4 linked regions of the Drosophila melanogaster genome follow. The protein of the gene in region 2 purifies or fractionates together with the protein of the main gene of each other region. This does not show direct contact. Each region holds a gene or a part of one and is shown on either strand. Other genes may lie near its edges. The genes, in order: Clamp, msl-3, upSET and JIL-1.

Region 1 (5,919 bases), on a different chromosome or scaffold from region 2:
GATCTTCCTATATAATCATGATTGCATAGTGCATGCAAACCAGTTGACATTAAAAGAAACAAAACTACAATCCCGTGTAACTAAAATGTATTCATTCTTGAATAATCCTATATACATATGAATATAAGTTTGTAATGACCGCAAATTCAAAAATGGACCCTAAGCAAAGTCCATGTTCGCAAATGTATACGTATACGTATTTATCTTGATTTAACTGATGGCGAATTCTAGTAATTTAAAGCTTTATTATACAAGCCATGAATCCTAATTCTTAAACACTTGGTTTTGATTATTGTAAAAAATTCGTTGCCACTTCACAACTTTACTTTAAATATGTAAAAATATTTTATTTTTAACAGATAATACGCAAAAATATAAATATAAGAAGTTTAAAAGAGTGCGTCCATTTTACAAATCAACAGCTCTAATTTTTTTGAAAAGACAGCAGTAATTCACATCATCTAATTTTCGATAAATTTTAACTTTATTTTACTCTTTTACGTCTATGAATATTTAAAGTTTTGTGTATTTATTAATTATATTATTGCCAACATTAAAATTTACTGACCTTATAGCTTCACGTAAGAATAAGATGAACGTGGCAAAACACTAAAAAAATTATATTTAAAGTGAAATGGTGCTTACATTAATAAAAAAAAAACGCATAAGACGTCGAAAACGGTGGAAAATGTGCCTATTTCTGGGATCCCTCTATTCTTCGTTAAGGCACTTGCAAATGGAGTAGGTTAGTAAAAAATTGTATTTTATTCAAATATTTATTTGATTTTATGCATTATTTAATACATACTTATATTAGATAGATTTAATTAAAATATATTTAAGCTTACAACTTTCAACTTATATGTGTGTGTTTATTACCTGTGCATATTCATACGTATCGGATTTGCTCGTATCGTCACCTAATAAATCCATATTTTACACCTACAATTTGTATAAGAGAATAGCCTATAACACTTATAAATACGATGCCTATACATATATGCGTTTAATGTTTAAAGATGTTTAAGTATATTATACAAGCTATCAAATAAATTAGGTTCATTTGTATGCTTATCGTAAAAAGCGTTTTTGGGTTTCGCCCATTTTTGAAGATCCCACATGAAAGTGGAGAAAGGACATATGCAGCTGAAGTGTTAACGATGGAACATCGTTTTCTATTCTTTAATATCATTGTGGTGATATATGCGCCCTTAGAGATGGTTCTGGGGCTAGCATAGGTGGAGGCAGATGATCATAGTAACGCTCGATAAACTGAAGCTAAGCAGGGTGGACTCCAGTGTCTGTGACTTCATTAAGCTGCCTGTCACCTCTGCATTTAAACTATCTATAACCCACCGATAATCACTTCCTGTTGGGCCTCATCCTCCATGTCAGGAATCTCCTGCTTATGCACTATCATCCCATCGCTGCTGGTCTGGCGAGGAGCAGTTTGGCCGTACTTTTGGTGTATGCCGCGGTGACGCTTGAGTGCAAAACGATCAGCGAATGCTGCAGAGCAAATCTCGCACTTGTAGGGTTTTTCTCCGGAGTGCACCTTTGCGTGGTTCTTAAGGTGCGCCGCCTGAGAAAAGGCCGATCCACAAATTTCACACTTGTATGGCTTTTCGCCCGTGTGAATGCGCCTATGATTCCAAAGAGTAGCGTGGCGCGCAAATCCTTTGTCGCAAACACCGCACACATAGGGCCGCTCGCCACTGTGCGTGCGTTCATGGTTCTTGAGGTGTGGTGACTGTGAAAACTGCATGCCGCAGGTTTGGCATCTATGTAAAGATAACGGTAATTAGTATAAAGAGTATAATTTCAAGTAGAAGATTGGTATTACTTATAGGGTTTCTCGCCTGTATGAATGCGCGCGTGGTTTTTCAAATATACGGCTTTAGCAAAGGCCAATCCACAGATGCTGCACTTGTAGTTTTTTTCACCGCTGTGCAGCTTTTTATGGGACCACAGACTTGAGTAACGTGAAAACAGACCACCACATATATTACAACTGAAGGGTTTGGACGGATTTCTGCAGGACAAACACCTTGGTTTTGTTAGCGTAGGATAAGGTTGCAATTTCATGTTATACTCACTCAGTTTTAACAGTAACTGATTGCTTTACCGATCCGCCCACCCCGCTGTGTGAAGCATGGGAGTGCTGCCCCACTAGCACCACGCCGGAGCCATTGCATTTCTGGCATTTGGTCATCTGCTGGGAATTTCGTTTTTTCACAGGATGATGGCCAGACCCACTGCTCGCCTCTCGCTTTGGCGTTGTACCGCCAGTCTGTGCAGCCACAATTTGCTGAAGTTGTGCTTGGGCCTGAGGAGTCGTTGATATGATTTGCACGGGATGCGCCATTTGACCTGCAAAAGATGCGATGAAGTTAGTTATGGTCCATTTAGAATGTAATCTTTCACAACTACCGTCTTGGGCGACGAAGAGCTGCTGTTGTTGTTGCGCTGTTTGTTCAGCCTGCATGCAGGACTCGCAGCGCACCTGCTTTGGACCTTTGCGTTTGGACTGCTGCAGCATAGAGCTTCCACAATTTATGCACTTGCTTGCCTTTGACTCATGTTGCTGCTGCTGCATTACAGATTGCTGAACCGGCTCCAGCGTGTCAGAAGACACAATCTGTATCTGGCCCATCTGACCATTTCCAATAATGTTCTGTGCCTGCACAAGCCCCTGCGCGCTGACCACGGCAATAGAATCGCCGCCCGCTTGGGCGTTATGTTGCTGTTGTTGCTGCTGTTCCCCGTCTGTATGCATCCGCTTATGAGCATTAAGAAGTGCCAAATGAGGGAACATATCTGAACATACGTCACACTTAAAGCTTATGTTGGATATGGTGTTCTGCAAAGAAGAAAATCTTTAGGCTTTGCTTAACGAGTCTTCCTTTTACATACAGCTGCAATTGGCTTATTTTGATTGACAATCTGGATGCGGCCTTGTGCGTCTACCGTGGCGATGCCAAGAGCTGCACCCTGATTGAGAGGCATTCCGTTGACCAGGGCGTAATTGTATCCGCCCACGGGCTGGGCTATATAACACGTCTTATTGTCGTCTGTGGTGGCCAGCTGTGCGAGATTGACGGTACCGCCATTGCCCTATGTGAAGACAATATGAAAAGTCAGCACCAATAACATATAGTAAGTAAACTACTTACATTTGTCGTGTAATAGAAGGTAGGCTGCTGCTCCGTTTTTTGGCCCTCTATTTTGGGCTGTTTAAGAATGGTGCCATCCGCCGTCTGGTATTGAATTGTGGCCGGTTGCCCATTAATGGCATTTGTGAAGATAATGTTTTTGGTAAGGTCTTCCATGGTCCCCAAAATTCGAGTATGCTCAAAAATTAACTTTTATCATACGTTGGCCTTTTATTTACTGCAGCTCTGTCGCGCTTTTCAACACTGCATCACGCGACGCTAATTCTATAAAAGAGAAAAAGAGATGAATATAGTGCCATAGGAACCCAGCGAAAACGACTGATTAAAAATGGCGACGGTGAGACAAAAAATATGTACATACGCGACACAAAACATACACAGACGAACGTTTAATGCAGCAGCTCTTTACATTAACAGACTCTAGTATCTAAACTGGAGTCTAGCACATTTGTTTTTTTATCATACAATATTACACTACATGTGTTATTTTTTTCATTATTAAAATTACCTTTTACGCAACCGGACCACACCATAAATTGCGCACTGCCTGCTCCACAATAAAATTGTTAAGATTTGAGTGGTGTAAAATTGTATTCGTGAATTGATAACGTATTTTAACGATATATTGTTTGGAATAATACAAGATATATATTTAAATAGTGTTATCTTTTTCTAACAAATTCCAGCACTTTAACTTTCAGTCCATCATTTTTTACGATTGCTAAAGAGAGATGGAGACAGAACAACGCTCAGAGATAGAGCAGACGAGCAGCAGTTTTACTTTTTAAAAGTGTGACCGTTTCACGACTCATGAAAATAATCATTTCCCTCGAAAATATACCAAAATTCACAAAGAACTGGTAGGATTTCTTAGAGCCCTTTTACACTAATTCGATAACTCAGAAAACATAAATATTTTTATATACGTTTTGTACTTCGTAATTTGGATTACATCACATGTTGTCTTACATGTTGTCTCTTACTCAAAAGGCAAACGCTACGATCAGTAGAATCTGGCTGTTACTAGCTTTCGAAAAGAAATATCTTGTGCTGAGCTGCGTTAAAAACACGTTTTAAATTTATTGAGACTTAACTTTTAATATTCTACAAGCTAAGGTAACACTGTAAGAGCAAAGACACTAGAATATTCTAGTGTCTTTGGTAAGATCATGGGCCATGGTTGATAACAAATTCCATAAGATAACGAAATTTTACAGGCACTCGACTTTTAACTAATTCTTAAAGATTCCATATAAAACGTACTTATTTTTGTATACTTAAATCTTTTAGGAATTCCTATTTATCTTTATCACTCGATGTAGGGGAGTGAGTTAAGGGACAACAGATTTTTTATGCCCCACGTAGTGACGCAAGTTATCCAACCCATAAATATAGCACTCTACCAAAAGCTAAACAAATTTCTAACTCCAATCTCAGCAGCGTTGCCTTTGCCCTTGTTTTTGACGCCAACACTTAGCCACCCGATATATAACCAAACTTAAAGTAAACACAACTTCCACTTGGAGACCAAGCCATGGTCAACTTATTGCGCTTCAGTCAAACTGCGTCAGTCAGCAAATTTGAATTTCACAATGCTGGGAAATAATTTCAGTGTAAAGCTTTTATCCTAAACATATTAAAAAGCTTAAGAGAATCCTAAAGAAAAGCTTCTGGCCGAGGTTGAGTGGATTAGGATTAAGATTTAGAAGATCAGTCTGAGTCGGGACGAGATCGTGAACAGCTTCAAATCAAAGATAAGCTAGTAATAAAGTGTCTTGTAATAGTATAAGTGAGGAAGTCTGTCGCCGAATAAATATTAATTAATAAAAAATAAAAACTATTCTTTTAAATAATTAAATAGCAGCAATTTTAATTCGCATACGTTTTGGTTTTGAGCTTAAGATCCTGGATGAACAAAGTTCTGCGAGTCCTGTTTGGTGTTGGAAAATTTCAGCTTCCAAAAGATTTAAATACTCTCGGCGCCCAAATTCAAAAATTTATTAGTGTTGGCAAGGCAACCAACGTGGTCAAATGTTTTTTATGACAACAGCATTTAAGGGAATGTCTTGAGATAGTAAGCTTATTTATTAGCTATTTTTGAGGAATGAAAAGACAAGTTTTATGGTAGTGATTTCGAACGATTATGTGTATGGTTTTGGAAAAAATTATGTCAGAAGGAACGGAAGGAAGCGTTTCGGGCATTATAACGTGCTTATATTCTTGTCTTCGGCTACCAATCCTTCTGTTCGTATACTTTTGAAAAGTTCTTTATCTTAAAAAATTAAGTTGTTTTTCTTGATAATTTGTATTGATATGCTTGAACTATTTCGCCACGACCAATTCAACACCCAAAACTTTTTGTTTTCATTGTTTATATTTTGCATTCCTTCTGGCTGTGTAAACGGTATCTCAATGTCCAACAAATTTGCTTAAGCGTTCTCTCTTATTTAAAAATAATTTGGTGGTAATAGAACTTAAATGAAATATATGTATATCTGTTTAGCTGCTTGTGATGTAAAAGAAATTAGAAATTAATTATGTGTTTACATTAAGATATATATCTTTCCCGCTTTTATTCTGTGTTCAAACCGCATGTGTTTTATATCGGCTTAATATACATATGTATGTCGGAGATTGAGTAGATCTAACGCAGTATTTGAATGTAACCGAAATTATGTTTTTGAACCGTTATGTTAAGAATGAGTTAAGAGTAATGAAATTCATGGAAATCGTTCCGTTATTGAGT
Region 2 (4,522 bases):
TCGAGTGTGGGACCCAGTGTGATCTTGGTGCGCAGCAAGATGTCCAACACGGCTCCGAAATCGAGTATCCATGGTAGCACCAGTTTTAAGGAAAACCAGTCCCAGTCCCAACCCCAGTCACAGTCCCGAATGAGCGCCGCTCGCAGCGTGGTGCTGGTGAAAAATGCCCTGAACCAGCAGCAGCAGGCCAGGATGAGTGCGAACCCCAGTCCGCAGCAGAGGAGCACTAGCAGCAGTCGATCCGTGAGCAGCTTCATGCGACCCACGGCCAGCAGTGCCACCAAGCGACAGAAGTGAGGGCCGGCAGTCCAGTCCAGTTCAGTCATCGTCCAAGTTAACGTCCCAAGTTTACACATGTTACAAACGCGAATGCATCCAACTCCAAGCCGTCCAAGCGACAATTTCGAATTTCTAAGCAGGATCTGAAACACAAATCAGCACACACATAGTTGTTACAGTTGCAATATTTTGAGAAATTATACAAATCTTAAGAATTCCCTGCACATTCCAACTCAAGGTCCGCAAATCCTTAATACAAAAGACAACAACTTTCCAACTCTTAAATATATTTGAGCACAAAAAACAAGGCATGACAAAAATACTAGCATGTACTACTCAACTAAAACTTAGGTTAAGCAAAAAAAAAAAAAAAAACAAAAAAAAATGTTAAAATCGTATTTTCAATATTTAACATATATAGTTATAGGCATTATTCGATTATACGATCACATTAGGAAACTTTTTTATAGAAGTGCGTTGTTTACAAAGTGTGTAGTTGAAGAAACCAAAACGACAATTACAAATCTTTAAATAAAAGAGCATAAGCTTTAATCGTAATAATAAATAAACTAGATAACTACGATCAACTAAAGCTAAGCAGCAATCCCATCCAGGGAGTCCAACAGCTCCCGCTGCAGATCTTCCTGGGGCAGGGCAGTGGAGTTAACAAAGTTTTCCCTGTCGAACCACTCCCTGTGGTTCTCCAAGTAGCTGAAAAACCAACAGATTAGCTTCGTGATGGACTAGGGAGGGGTCTTAGACTTACTTGATGAAGGCGTCGAGGTGGGGAAGTAGATCTTCTAGCTTCTTGTTGCTGATCGGCGATGCGTTTAAGAACATGGGCATTTTAACTGCAAGTACCATGAATTAATGTGTGTTATAGAATGCAAGAAAGATTGTACATACTCATTAGCCTAACCAGGTGGGGAGCGCCAAAGACCATGGACTTTTCTGGCGGCGATTCCGCTGACAAAAGCCGCCACTTGAATGTTTCGTTCAGAAATCCACGCATCTCCACGGGCAGTTTGTAGGCAGCCGTATATGGGGAAGTCCTCTCATAGGCCTGCGCAGTGTTTTTCCCGCTGGCGGTAACAATGTAGAGCAGGCATTTTTGCAACTGCTTCTCGTACTCCGGACCGCCGATATTAATAACTCCGATCTGTCCATTGGTGTCGCCCGACCCTTCTACCACTGGCGTGCCGTCCAGACCGATCAGTTCCGTGTCACCGCTGGGATTGATATACTCGTACGACTTGTTCAATATTAGGCTGCAGTTGCGCATGTTGTCGTCTGTGAGGTAGTTGTGGACATACTCCTTCTCCTCCGTATACAGCAAGTGGTCATCCACGTGGAACTCAAAGTAGATACGCAATCCGTCTACCACCTCCTTCAGCATGCAGACACTGTTAATAAGTAAGAGTATAAGTGGGTTGTTAAGTCTGATATTGAGTGGTAACCAACGTGGACATAACGCGATCGTATTCCCGCTCCATTCTGGCATTGCGACTCTGCGTGTTCCTGGCCCTCGAGCTGTCCTGTTTAATGCTAATGGCTAGCTCCACGGCCTGCTGCTTGACGAAGTTTTCCATGATGGTCACGATGGGCACGCGGGCGGGCAGTGCGTGCTGTTTGCCTAGTACCTTGATCATATTCCGATCGTACTCTATAAGCTCTCGCAATCGCTCGCTGACTCGCATCATAATGCGATCCTCCTGTGGCACATGGTTATAGACCGATACATCATTTATGGCATTGTTATAAAAGGTCTCTGTTTGTCTGCCCCGGTTTCCCTTTAATCGGCCATCTCCGGACGGGGGTTTTTCCTTTCGCTTGCCACCGCTGTTGTCCCGCGTCCGGTTGCCCGCTGCTCGTGGAGTGGGCGCCATTTCGTGCTCCGCCTCAAGATGTCCCGTGTCCATTGGAACCACTATTGGCTCCTCAACGTGGGCCGCTTTTCCGCCGCGTTTCTTCTTGGCCGATGGCTTATCGGGTGTGCCCTTGTAGGAGTAGTCACCACGACTGTGCGAAAAAGAAGGGGGAACTCGTTAGAGAGGTATTCCACGCATGTCTAGGGGGTTATCTTACATTTGCAGCTTGGCAGCTTCGGCCAGCTCCCTTTGCAACTGGCGATTCTCCTCGGTGTCTTTCAATAGAACGGTGGCGCGCACACAGCGATCGTAGGATGGACGCCAGCCCTGGAAGTGAATCTTGTACTCGTAGAACCTCAGGCCATGCTCGTTCCGGCGCTCAAAGACGTTTAGCACCTGCGGCATGTACGGAAAATTGCGGGAAACGGAAAATCATTTGTGAAAACTTCGCCTACGACGTTTGCTTGACATTTCAATGCGCGCGCGTGTGTGTGTGTGTGCATGTGTATTTACCTTGCTGGTGTAAAGAACACGGGCCTTCGATTTATCCGGCTCGTAGCAAAGGACTATCTCGCCCTTGTGAAAGAGCGGTGTCTCGTCCCTTAGCTCCGTCATTACTTGCAGTTAAATAGGGCCGTAGTCAGTCACTTATGTATACAAAATGTTAAATATTGAATTCAACTGCTGGCGTCGCTGAGATGATATTTATAACGAATGTTTTTTGCGATAAGCAATTGACGTGGGTATCGAATATTCCCTCGCACTTATCGATAACACATACTGTCGATGCTTGCACGTCTTTAGCAGGCCGGCCTTAAGTGTGACCAGACAAAATGCATTTTTGGCGGCCAATTTAAATAAAATTTTCTATCATCAGTAATTTGATCACAGTTTTACCTTTTGCCAAATGATTTTTTAGTTATACGTAGCTTTACCCTGTTAGCATTTAAGAATAATGCTGACGATCATTTTGTGTTTTTAAGAAAAAACCCAAATAAGTAACAAAAAATGTGCTGTCATCCCGGTTGCTAAGGACAAGAAAAACCAAAACAAAAGCATGTCCTGAATCACCTGTTCGTTTTCACACTGTGCTGCAAATTTTTCACCAAGATCCTGCCATGGCCGGTGCTCCCAACTGGCTTCACGTGGACACGGCGGAGGAGGCTCCTCCACCGCATCTCACCACCCTCACCAGTTGCATGGCCCTGAGCGACGTGCAGTGCGACGGATATGTCCGGCTGCTGGCGGCGGACATTTCACTGGACAATGCCGCCGAGGAGCCCACTGCCACGCTGAAGGTTTTCCGTGGTCTTAAACTCAAGCACGAGCAGCCACTGCCGGGGATTCCAGCGGCCATTGAAAGTCTCTACATCGACGAAACGGAGCCCAAGACGCCGGGTAGAAATAACGTTGCATTTTAATATTTTTAAATTAGATTCCATAATGAATACAATTTTCCAGTAATTGCCGTGGCCATCGCTGAGTCAGTGCTCTTCTATCGTCACCTAAAGCCATACTTCAAGTACACGATTCCCGCACAGGACTCCGAGGATCTGGAGCTGGAGGTATGGCGAAAACTGCCGGTTGTGAAGCCAAGTGCCCATCCCGCCCTGCTTGACTCCCTAAAAACCATAGACCACTCCAAGCTGTCGCGGAAATCGCAGCGACTTCTGCAAATGGGCGAGCAGGAGCGGGAGCACTTCATTGCCACGCACAAGGACTCCCCAGTGGGTCGGGTTGGCAACATTGTGGCCATGTGCTGCATAAAGCGCATCTCCAGCGATGCCAATCCCCCGTCCCACTTGGTCCTGGCCACCGATACCGGGCACATCATGATCCTGGAGCCGCAGGGCTTCAATTTGGTTTACCAGGGCAAGGCCTGCGATGATGAGACGGCCGTGCCGAGCCTGATCTCCGTGCAGGGAACCTTTGAGACGGATTTCTGCATCGTGGTGGCCACGCGAAATGGCGGTGTCTACCTCCTGCGGAAAAGCCAATCGGAGGGACAGGAGATCTTCAAGCTCGGCATCCCCCTAACCGGCCTCCTACTGCTGCCCATCGATCAGACGATAATCGCCTCCACCATGGACAATCGCTATCTGTGCTACTCAAAGCGGGGCAAGCTGTTATACCAGGTGCCCATGTCCGATCTACCCGTTTGCCTCCTACCGCTGCCCTTGACCCATCTGGGACTCACCCTGGTGGCCATTGCCCTTAGAGGAGGAGTGGTCAAGTTTTATTTGCAGCGCTACCTCGTCGACGAGTTTGTTCTCGAGGAGACGGTGGATGCCATGCTGTACGGACGAATGGGCATGGAGGATCACGTCCTCACGCTCGTTACTCAATCTGGTGGTATCGTGGTTAAGATCCTGAGA
Region 3 (5,034 bases), 6.9 Mb from region 2:
AAAGTGGCCACGGTGCTTTCGTACAGGGGCGGTTCCAAGGGGGTTCATTTGGGATATACATATGCGCCAAAATCTAATTCATTATATCAACAAAATATTATCGAAAGAATTAAGTTTTGTTTGCTGTTTTCTTTAAATTCCGAGAGCTTCCCCGCAAGCAGGATTTTTAATCCGCCACTGCTTTCGTGTCGTTTTTGTTGGGGATTTCTTTTTGTTGCTATGGCTTTTGTTGCATCGCTAGATGAAGTAGAACAAATACAAAGCTTATCGAGGCTCGCAGACGCACACATCTAAACGAGTGAGTCGAAAAGAGAAAGACTCCTATTGTGATCTACGGAATAAAAATGAACCTACAATTAAAAATAGTAATGCTGCTCATATTAGCTTGTTGACCAATGGACTACGTGACTGCACAATATCAGGGGCATTGCTTTGGCTGTACTTTCATTGAAACAGTCGCCAAGCGTAAAATGGGTTTTAGTTTTTGCATACCAGCTACAAAGTGTCAACTTTAATTGCGTCTTATTTTAATTCACTTGCTCGCTAGTTCTGGTCCGTCTAATTCGGTCAATTACTAATCAAGAATTGAGACTGCATGGGATTTTATTATGGATATTACACCATTAAAAAAATCTGTGGGGTTGGGAGGTGGTTTTAGGGGGTTGTGGCGGTTTGGTTTCGTTCCGCGACAACCTTTGAAATTATCGAATGGCTTAGCTTTCGCGAAATAATATTTTGACGATGGTCTTGTCTGCGCTGCGCAGAAAATAACGAAAGCCGAGCGCAGGCAAAAAGTTGTCTATCAACTTTTGCTTTCATTTTGTGGCGAAAATTCGCGCGTACAAAGCACAAGGCATAAATAACAATTGCAAAAATCACGTATGCGCAAAGAGCAGAACAGGAACATTCGAGCAATGCCTGTAAGCGAGAGCGAGACCACCATAGCTCTCCCCACACACACACTAACACTTAGCTATGTTAACTGCGGCCAACTTCACGGCGTACAGGCGTGTAAACGCTGGAGCACGCAATAAAAAGTTTGACGAAAACAGGGCGAAAGAAAATAAAATAAAAACTATATAGCTCTGTGCTAACATTCTGGATAATGGGAACAACATGGCGTCGTCGATATCGTTCAACTAATTCTCATCAACTTTAATTTCACTTTGCGGTCGATTTGTTGTTAAGTTTTTCCGACTAGCTGATGCGCATGTCAAAATTTTGGTAGAGACAACAAAAACACTGCACGGCATACACATTGCAATCCAAATGCGGAGGGGTGTGCCAAATCGAAATATGATTTTAATACTGATTTAGATAATCTCCTTAGAAACTCGAGCAAAACAAACTAAAAACAACTTGAAATTTAACAAAACAATTGCTTCGGGTTGGCAACTCTGTGCGAGGGGCATAATACGCACATCTACCTTCACGTTGCACAAAACGGAATCGAAAGCAAAACAAATGAACCCGCAAAGCTGTGCGAGCGAGCACGCTATACTGACGGTTAGTTGAAAAAAGAATATGCAATCAAATATGGCGACACACAGTATGCAAAAAAAAAAACCATACAAAATCGACGCATCAACAAATGAAATATTTATTTAACTGGCTCGACTCAAAATAAAATCTGAATTTCATATATATGTGATCCAATAGATATGTATAACCCATTCGACTGTATATTTTTCGATTCAAAATATTTCCGATTTGGGCGCGCACTCACATACAAACACACACACTAGTTTTACTCACCGTTTACTCTGTTATTTTGAATTTTCACTTCATTTTGCACAACTTAATTTAATTTAACGACAAGCTACGTGGTTTATTTTTTATTTCGAAACTTTATATTTCAATTTTATAAATACAAATTAAATTTGTATACACTTTAACACTGGTTCTTTTTTGTTCCGTTGCACATTGTTGATTTGCAGCATTTAAGTGATGGCGCGACGTTGTTTCGAACGTTTACTACCTGCACAAATTAAAATGTTTCTACTTTGATTAATCAATTTTATTATTATTAATACCGTATGGCACAAGAAGCAGAAGACAAAACGCGCAGGAAAACACATAAACTGGGATTGCTTAAGACGTGTGTAAGAGCGAGACGACCAGTCGGTTTGAGCAGACCATATAGCTAGTGTGACCGTTCTAGCCTATGGACAAGACATGCCAACTGACTATTATCGCCTATTTTATTTTGTTCGCCTGCCCTGCTTCTTCTTCTTGGTTTTTGTGTTGCGCTGTTTCCCTGTTTAGCCTATTACTACTGCGCCTGGCCATTCCGAAATGCTGTACGTACATATTTCGATTTCGCCTTTCCGCCTATTCGTTGATACCCACACAAACGTATATCTGTGCATGCCTTTCTACGTAGGTATGTGTAAAATCTATACACACGGATGTTGGCGCACATATACACAAAAAGTAAAATAGTTATGTTATTAACTATTTAACCACAAGCTATTTACATTTTAGGCACTTATTAATCCTATTTTCCAAAATACAAGGAATAGATACAGAAACGAAGACATAGTAGAAAAACAAACCTACAAGTAAATGACAATTAGTTGAAATTAACTTATTGGCCACCATACTGCCGAAGAGTGCGAAACTAATTCAGAAGCGAACCACTCAGCCAAGTAAACTATATTTTTTTGTAGAATTAGTTATACCTCTCCTACACTCACACAAATATTATATATATGTATATATAGACCGCGGCTAGTACACGTTTAGCGTCGTCTCGCTCCCACCTACGATCCGCACGTATTTTGCCTCTCACAATGTGTGTGTTTTCCTCTTTTCCAACACGCTAATAAGAAATCGTCATTTTTAAAAGTGCTTTTACAGCCAAACTAACATGTTTCACAGGGGAATTTCATAGTTCTGCGATTGCCGCGTTCGCATACTACGCTCCCAGTTATTTTCACAAATTTTTTGTTGACGTTTCGAGCACAATTTCCACACGTTTTGCTCACAACTTTCCGCTTCTAAAAAATTAGAGACTGACCAACCGAAGACGGTCACACTACAGCGGAGCGATAGATCGTTATCGCTCGACCAGGGATCCTATACTATTAGCCTTGCCGATATATATTTATTTATATAGTAAGACCGTTTTTCGTTTAGTATTTTTTAGTTTTTGAATATATTATCTAAGGTATCTATGGTAAATTTAAACGATTTAAAAAAATTCCATTGCGTTGCATTTATATTATTGTTTCGCCTGCAAAATGAAAACTGACATGACTACTATTTTAAATAAGTTTTTGGTATTTTATGCAAACTAAAAGAGAGCCACACTGCTGTAAATATATTTTATATTTTACATTTATTTACTTTGCTTCCATTTCTCAATGAAGTCAAATTGAGGTACTAATAAATAAATAAAGAGTTGTTGAGGTAGTTTCTGTAGCAAACTACGATTTATAAAGTATTTTTGAAAACATAGCCAACTATTTGTTGACCCTGACCCCAGTTGATAATGCAAATGTTCATATTTTAATTTACATAAAAGGGGAAGTGTCTGTGTGCCATGGAAACTAATGTGAATCCCCTGGCCGTAATCCTGGTTTACTTCGATAGCAAGGGGGATCGGTTACTGTACAGGTATCCGTACCAGACTCTCGGCCAAACGGAGGTGGCCAACGACGAGCAGCGGAAGTCCAGGTACTACCTATTAATTCAAAGGGCACTCAGCTTGACTATACCGATTTATTCAATCACAGAAAGCGCAATCCCTATGCCGTGGCCAATACGGACGATCTGCTGCAGACACCCACCCACTTGGGTGCTGCCAAGAGCCAAGGACAACTGCAGGGATTCGCAGATGAGGTCCTGTCCGCTCTGTTTGCTGTTAAACCACAGCTATGCAACCAAAAGTTTGAACTCAAACTGAACGACGTACGCTTTGTCAGTCATCCCACTCTGATACCGCAAAAGGAGCAGAGAAGTGGTCCAATGGCCAAGCAACAGATGCTCATCAACATTGTTTTTGCGCTGCATGCACAGGCCAGCTACTCGATTGTTAAGTGCTACCACGAACTGAGCAAGCGCCTTGGACTGGCGCTGAAGTTCGAGGAGCAGCGCAGTGGCTATCTCACCGAGCAGACGGCTCAAATGGCTCGCACACACGACGAGCAGCAGCAACAGCCGCTGGAACGCACACTGGAGCTGATTGCAGAGCGCTGCAGCTTGGCACAGGCCTTGCGCTCCATCTTCCATGATCTATGCACCACTGGACTGCTGAGTACCTCGCTGAATCACAACCTAACGTTGTGCTTCTGTCTGCCCGCTAAGGCACACCAGCTCCATAAGAAGGGCAGCATGGTGGATCCAGAGACCATAGATCGGTGCCTTCGTGCACTGAAGCCCTATCATGGCATGTTGCTGCTGGTCGACTTTGCCGAATTGTTGGACTGCGTTCCACCGACTGGGGCACGCATGCTATGGCAGCTAGTCGACGTCTACGACCCACTGATCAGTCTGCAGAGCATGTCCTCCAATGCAGACTTGAGTATCGAGCATGTTTATAAGCTCGTCTCGCATTTGGTCTACTGGGCTAAGGCAACTATTATTTATCCACTCTGCGAGACAAATGTCTATGTGATCGCGCCGGATGCACCATTGCACACCAAGTCCCACCTGGTGGAGAAGTTCTCGGCCCGTTTTGCCGGTATGTCGCTGTTCGAGGTGATCTCCGATTTTTCATTGCCCACTTCAATTGGACACTTAACCACGCCACTGCAGCAGCCAGCGCGACAGGGTATCCTCGCACAAATGGTGATTTGGATGCTGCAGCACCATTTGCTCATGCAGTTGCACACGTACGTTCAGTTTATGCCCAGCGAGGATGAATTCGGAGATTCGGCCTCCTGCAGCAACCATCTAAGGGATGCCATTAGCGATGAAGAAGGAGACCAAGAACCAGATGCGGACGAGTTGCATGGCTCCATGCTTAGCATGTCCAGTCATCCGTTGCCAGTGCCAGCGGTATTGGTGGGCGGACATCGTCGTGAGGCGTCC
Region 4 (4,564 bases), 4.0 Mb from region 2:
AGATTTATTTTATTCGATTTATAAACAGCTGTTGTGAAAACCTCTTGACAAAAACGTTTACTTCAAAAAGGTGTTACTTTCCACACCAAAATCCAGACCAATGTCCTCAGTAAATAATATTTATTTAAAAATGCAACCGAAAAGTGTCAAATTTAACAAATAACAAGCAGCAACAATAGGTTTTCGACCCACGGTTATCAAATTAGACATTTGGGTGGTGGATATTCTGTCTGCTTTGTGTATATGTATGTAGAGTGTGGTGAGAGGTGAGTACGGCGAGGTTGGGCGATTTCAGGGGAGGTCAGTAGTTTTGGATTTGGCCCAAAGAGCGAACAAAGCCGGGTTGAGTTTTCTGGGTAATCGTGTCAAGGTTAAATGCATGTGCTCCACTTTAACAAAGAACGATAGAGACGGCACTTCATCTGGCATTGACCAGCCACCCTCTGCCGACATTTCAATAAAACCTTGAGACATCCACCCGGTTAAAGTTATCAATTATTCCACCACACTACCATGTTTGATAAGCTCTGTGGCAGCTGCCTTAAAATGGCATGAAATATTCACAGGGAAGAAGTTGCGGTTTAATTTGATATGGACGGAATTATTAAACTATCATATTTAACATAAGTACATCCTGACCTGCAACTTGTAACAAATTTTCTTATCTAGCTTGTGCTTGCAGTTGGCCCGGTCTTCTTTATCACTATCATTGAGTGGAATGACTCACCGTAGTATTTCAGATCGGTGACCGCCTCCAGGTCCCGTTGATGGGCCTCATTGTCCAGATCAAGGGGTGTACTATTGCTGGTGGGCATGGCGTAGGAGGGCGTGGTCGACGAGGAGGCCTTCGAGGCTGCTGCTGCCGCTGCTGCAGCCGCCGCCGCCGCCGCTGCAGCTGCATTGTTGGACTTGGCCTTGGACAAGCTGGAGCTGGATTCATCGATCTCTATCCCGTTCGGCTCATCCTCCTCCATGTCCTGGTCGTAGTACTCCCGCTCGGGATCGCGTCCGTCCTCGCTCTCCGCATCCGATATGCAAACAATATCCGCCACATTTGTGGTGGGCGGGGATGGAGGTGTGGGCGGTGATATGGTCTCGCGGTAAGTGTAATCCCTTGCAGATGCTGAAGTGGTCTTGCTGCTGCTATTGGTGTACTGACCGTTGGTGGCACTGATGCTGTTGTTGTTATTGTTATTATTATTGTAGTTCAAGGTCTTTCCAGAACCAGAGCCGGATCCCTCCGTATTCAGTTTGGACTTTTTCCCATTGGTCATCGTTTCGGAATTGCTATTCTTTCGCGTTTTGCCATTGCCATTGGCTACCAGCTGGCCATTTAGATGATTCCGCACCATTTGATCTGGCTCCTCGTAGGCTAGTGACTCCGATTCACGGGGATGTTGATGATTCTTGAGGCGCGACGTACTTGTACCGCTTAAGATCTCGTAGTTTTGCTTTTGCAAGCGACTCATGGCTAGATTCTTCCGTAAAAGATCCTATGCCTTTAATAATGCTCTACGTGCTCCTCACGTAATCGATGGATATTCCAGGAATTAACAAATAAAAATAAAAAGGTCCAGGGACTGATCGTGGCGCATCGTTGAGCTGGAAAAACAGAAATCAAAGTAAAGACATTTTTTCGAAAATCGCTAACAATTTGTAGACAATCATTAAACTTTTTGACACATTCTTATATGAGTACTGACATAAAGTTGTCATTTTGGCTAGCTAGACTGTTTTATTGTTGTAGTATTTTTAATTAGAAACTGAATTAGTTTTTTCTATTCATGGATGTTCAACAATGCATAGACAACATGTACGATATAAATGTTCCAGTTCACACATTTTAAATACTAAATAAATAATAACTGAATTGTTGAAATTTATTCCGCAAGATGTTTTGAACATAGCTGTTTCTTATTGTGTTCTATTTAGGCAATCTTCACCGTACCTTCCCAATGCCCATTGCCCATTTCTATCCCATTTCTTCATCCACAATATGGTACAGTTTCAACGCAGGCGGGAGTAATTTTCCCGCTGTTAGCGGACAATTGGATGGGGAAACTCATTTCTGAATAGAACACTATTTGGGAGTTCGACTCACCTCGCGAAAGATTATAAGCGCAATATTATAATGCAGACGAAGAAATCCGAATCGGAGTGTGTGTGTGTGTGAGTGGGTGGATCTGGATGGGGAGGGGGAAGAGTGTTGGATTATGCGTGGGGCGGTAGCGATGTGCAACACTGAACGTTCCAATGATAATGTGCACCGATTTATGCAGCACTGGCGTTGGCTTAAATATTATTCAACCAATTCGGTTGCGGTTTCTTTTCATTCTTCTTTTTTGCTTGTTATATTATGCCGTGATTATCACAATCTTTATCAGTCGCGCATTTTTCACTTCCACAGTTAGTTTTTTATTTTTTTTTTTCGATTTCTTATTCTTTACCGTTCTCTTTGCCCACAACTACGTACACATATGCACACTCACACGCTGGCACTTTCTGTATCGGCTGCGTTTTTAAAGCGTTTTTGTTTTCGTCCGCTGATTCCGCTCCGGCGACTGTTGCTCTCGATTTTCAATGGATTTTCCAATTTCCCTGCGTACGCTTGTACTTGTTTTTCAATAGACAATACAGTAACGTTTTGATATTGAGATTGAATGTTTTGTATAATTTGTTTTGTGTTACACGAGAAGGTTTTTACCGCCGCTTTCTACTCGTTTACGCACACACACATTGAAACGCAGGACGCTCTCCGCCATCTGCTTTGCTCTCATTCGTGAACACTTATTAGGTACGGACCACCTTGATGGGAATCGCGTCGATTTCCGTTACACTCGATCAAATCGGGTTTATATCTGTATTATAGTACAATATAATACAATTAAAATCGAGAGAGCCCTAAAACGATTAATGCCGGATAATTGGCTATTTGTAATTTCAACACACAGCACACGAACCGCACGTAGAAATTTTCCCTTTGCTTTTGTGTCACTTACCGTAGCTATCGTTATCGATAGTGTTGACAAGAGGCCAAAAAGCGTGGTGCTGGAAAGCAGCCGTATATCGGTTGGCAGGGATGGTGGAGACTATCGTTTCAAATATTTAAGAATATTATATTTTGATTAACAATTATAATGAAGAATAAATTTAAGGAAAATGTGAAAATTTCGTTTATCAATAGAAAAAATATAAGAATTACCATAAATTTTAGTTTGGTTTTATTGAACTATTTCGTAAGCTGCACGGACGTAAATAAACCTTAAAAAGTAACCATAATATTTGACAAATTCTTTCTCGCCAAGTCGGGAACTGTGCATCCATCTTTCGGATAACCAACGGGCAGTAGGATGAGTAATTTTTCATTGACGGGTCGCCCGAGCAGGTTTCTCAAGGCTGGACCGCAGTTCAAAGGAGTGGTGACCAGCGATGCGAGTCCTGCCGCTTGAAGGGCACACAAAAGGATACCGGCCGCAATCGAAGTGGATATCTCGTTGTAGTAATGCCTCCTCATTCGCTTTCCATTCTCCGACAATCCATAGGTCTGCTTGAAGATCAGTATAAGGTACGGCGCCTCGGTGAGATACTCCTTGACATGATTGGTTTGCAGGGGTCGCAGATCGGTGACCCACTGCGGATGCATCCTCTGGCTGTAGTTGACCAGCTCCTCCTGTTCCACAATTTCCCGAATGGATCGCTTGAGTTCCGGCTCCTGTACGACGCAGTACGTCCAGGGTTCTGTGTGTGCGCCACTGGGAGCTGTTCCCGCCGCCCGAATGCAGTCCTCTATCACGCTGAGATCCGGTTTGGGATGGCTATTAAAGGAGCGAATGCTACGGCGTCCACGCATGAGTTCATATAAGCGTTTGGCTCCATTAGGGTTGAGATTCTGGCCGGGAACGAAGGGCACATGGGGCTTATCCTCCAGAGCCGGTTGCAGTTCATCGCCAAGATCGGCAAAGTGTTCAACTGGAAAATAGAATAGAATAGCTTTATGTTCACCGTGGATAATCTTAAAACTTACCCTCCTCCTCGACTTGTTCATCTAAATTATATGTTTTTAATACGCGATTCCCTTTAAAAAACAATCTTTTTACGATCCATATCAGCGCCAGAGTGATAAATAAACTTGGCCAATGCTTGAGTAGCTTGGAGCTGCTGATCAGTTCGTCCACATCCATGGTGCTTCAAGATGTAACTGCTTTTGCGACGGAGAGAAAGTGGCTTTGCTTTTGCGCTCGGATTGGCTTATCACTTGGTTAAGTGGGTCACGGCTATTGCTGATAGCGATGGATGCTGGTGGATGGGTTTTGGTTTCCACTTCAGTTGTTGTTCCGGCAGCAGTAGGTGCAATGGCTGCCCTTGTGATGCTCGCACATCCTCTGTTGTCCCTTTTCGTGGGCACTCCTATCCGACATGCATTTTGGATTCTTAAGCATCTGATTGGGCTCACCCGGTTTTCGTTTTTGCGGCGGAATCGGTCGGCGTGTATTGTTGAGTGGAATGGCCTTCTGGTGAACCAATTGGCGCTTGTGCACCTCTCTCAGAATCTCGATGATCCGCC

The links.
Region 1: the proteins of msl-3 (region 2) and Clamp purify together in Drosophila melanogaster (affinity purification with mass spectrometry, with the first as the bait; 2 studies listed by BioGRID). This does not show direct contact.
Region 3: the proteins of msl-3 (region 2) and upSET purify together in Drosophila melanogaster (affinity purification with mass spectrometry, with the first as the bait; 2 studies listed by BioGRID). This does not show direct contact.
Region 4: the proteins of msl-3 (region 2) and JIL-1 purify together in Drosophila melanogaster (affinity purification with western blotting; 4 studies listed by BioGRID, with this or other methods). This does not show direct contact.

What each region holds. Positions count from the first base shown.
Region 1 is NT_033779.5:22,165,207-22,171,125, forward strand, and holds Clamp (Chromatin-linked adaptor for MSL proteins), read right to left. Parts: upstream 3,938-5,919; 5' UTR 3,682-3,937; intron 3,438-3,681; 5' UTR 3,330-3,437; coding exon 3,174-3,329; intron 3,115-3,173; coding exon 2,914-3,114; intron 2,861-2,913; coding exon 2,431-2,860; intron 2,371-2,430; coding exon 2,097-2,370; intron 2,048-2,096; coding exon 1,844-2,047; intron 1,782-1,843; coding exon 1,346-1,781; 3' UTR 514-1,345; downstream 1-513. UniProt on the Drosophila melanogaster protein: Transcription factor involved in X-chromosome dosage compensation in males, the process by which transcription of the single X chromosome in the male is elevated. Binds to the DNA sequence (GA)n.
Region 2 is NT_037436.4:7,122,661-7,127,182, forward strand, and holds msl-3 (male-specific lethal 3), read right to left. Parts: upstream 2,874-4,522; 5' UTR 2,763-2,873; coding exon 2,661-2,762; intron 2,544-2,660; coding exon 2,365-2,543; intron 2,299-2,364; coding exon 1,741-2,298; intron 1,683-1,740; coding exon 1,186-1,682; intron 1,131-1,185; coding exon 1,046-1,130; intron 991-1,045; coding exon 873-990; 3' UTR 553-872; downstream 1-552. Other genes in the region: form3 (formin 3), read left to right, coding at 1-297; BBS1 (Bardet-Biedl syndrome 1), read left to right, coding at 3,266-3,545, 3,609-4,522. UniProt on the Drosophila melanogaster protein: Component of the male-specific lethal (MSL) histone acetyltransferase complex, a multiprotein complex essential for elevating transcription of the single X chromosome in the male (X chromosome dosage compensation).
Region 3 is NT_037436.4:14,000,137-14,005,170, reverse strand, and holds the start of upSET (upSET), read right to left. Parts: upstream 3,045-5,034; 5' UTR 2,870-3,044; exon of another isoform or gene 2,792-2,869; intron 1,979-2,791; 5' UTR 1,756-1,978; intron 1-1,755. Other genes in the region: Nprl3 (nitrogen permease regulator-like 3), read left to right, coding at 3,545-3,678, 3,738-5,034.
Region 4 is NT_037436.4:11,090,171-11,094,734, forward strand, and holds the start of JIL-1 (JIL-1 kinase), read right to left. Parts: upstream 3,024-4,564; 5' UTR 2,102-3,023; intron 1,687-2,101; exon of another isoform or gene 1,603-1,686; 5' UTR 1,470-1,602; coding exon 728-1,469; intron 1-727. Other genes in the region: Iyd (iodotyrosine deiodinase), read right to left, coding at 3,263-3,969, 4,025-4,181; CG46439 (uncharacterized protein), read right to left, coding at 4,323-4,564. UniProt on the Drosophila melanogaster protein: Phosphorylates 'Ser-10' of histone H3. May regulate gene expression by establishing or maintaining the structure of more open chromatin regions. Also required for normal polytene chromosome structure, for oogenesis and for viability throughout development.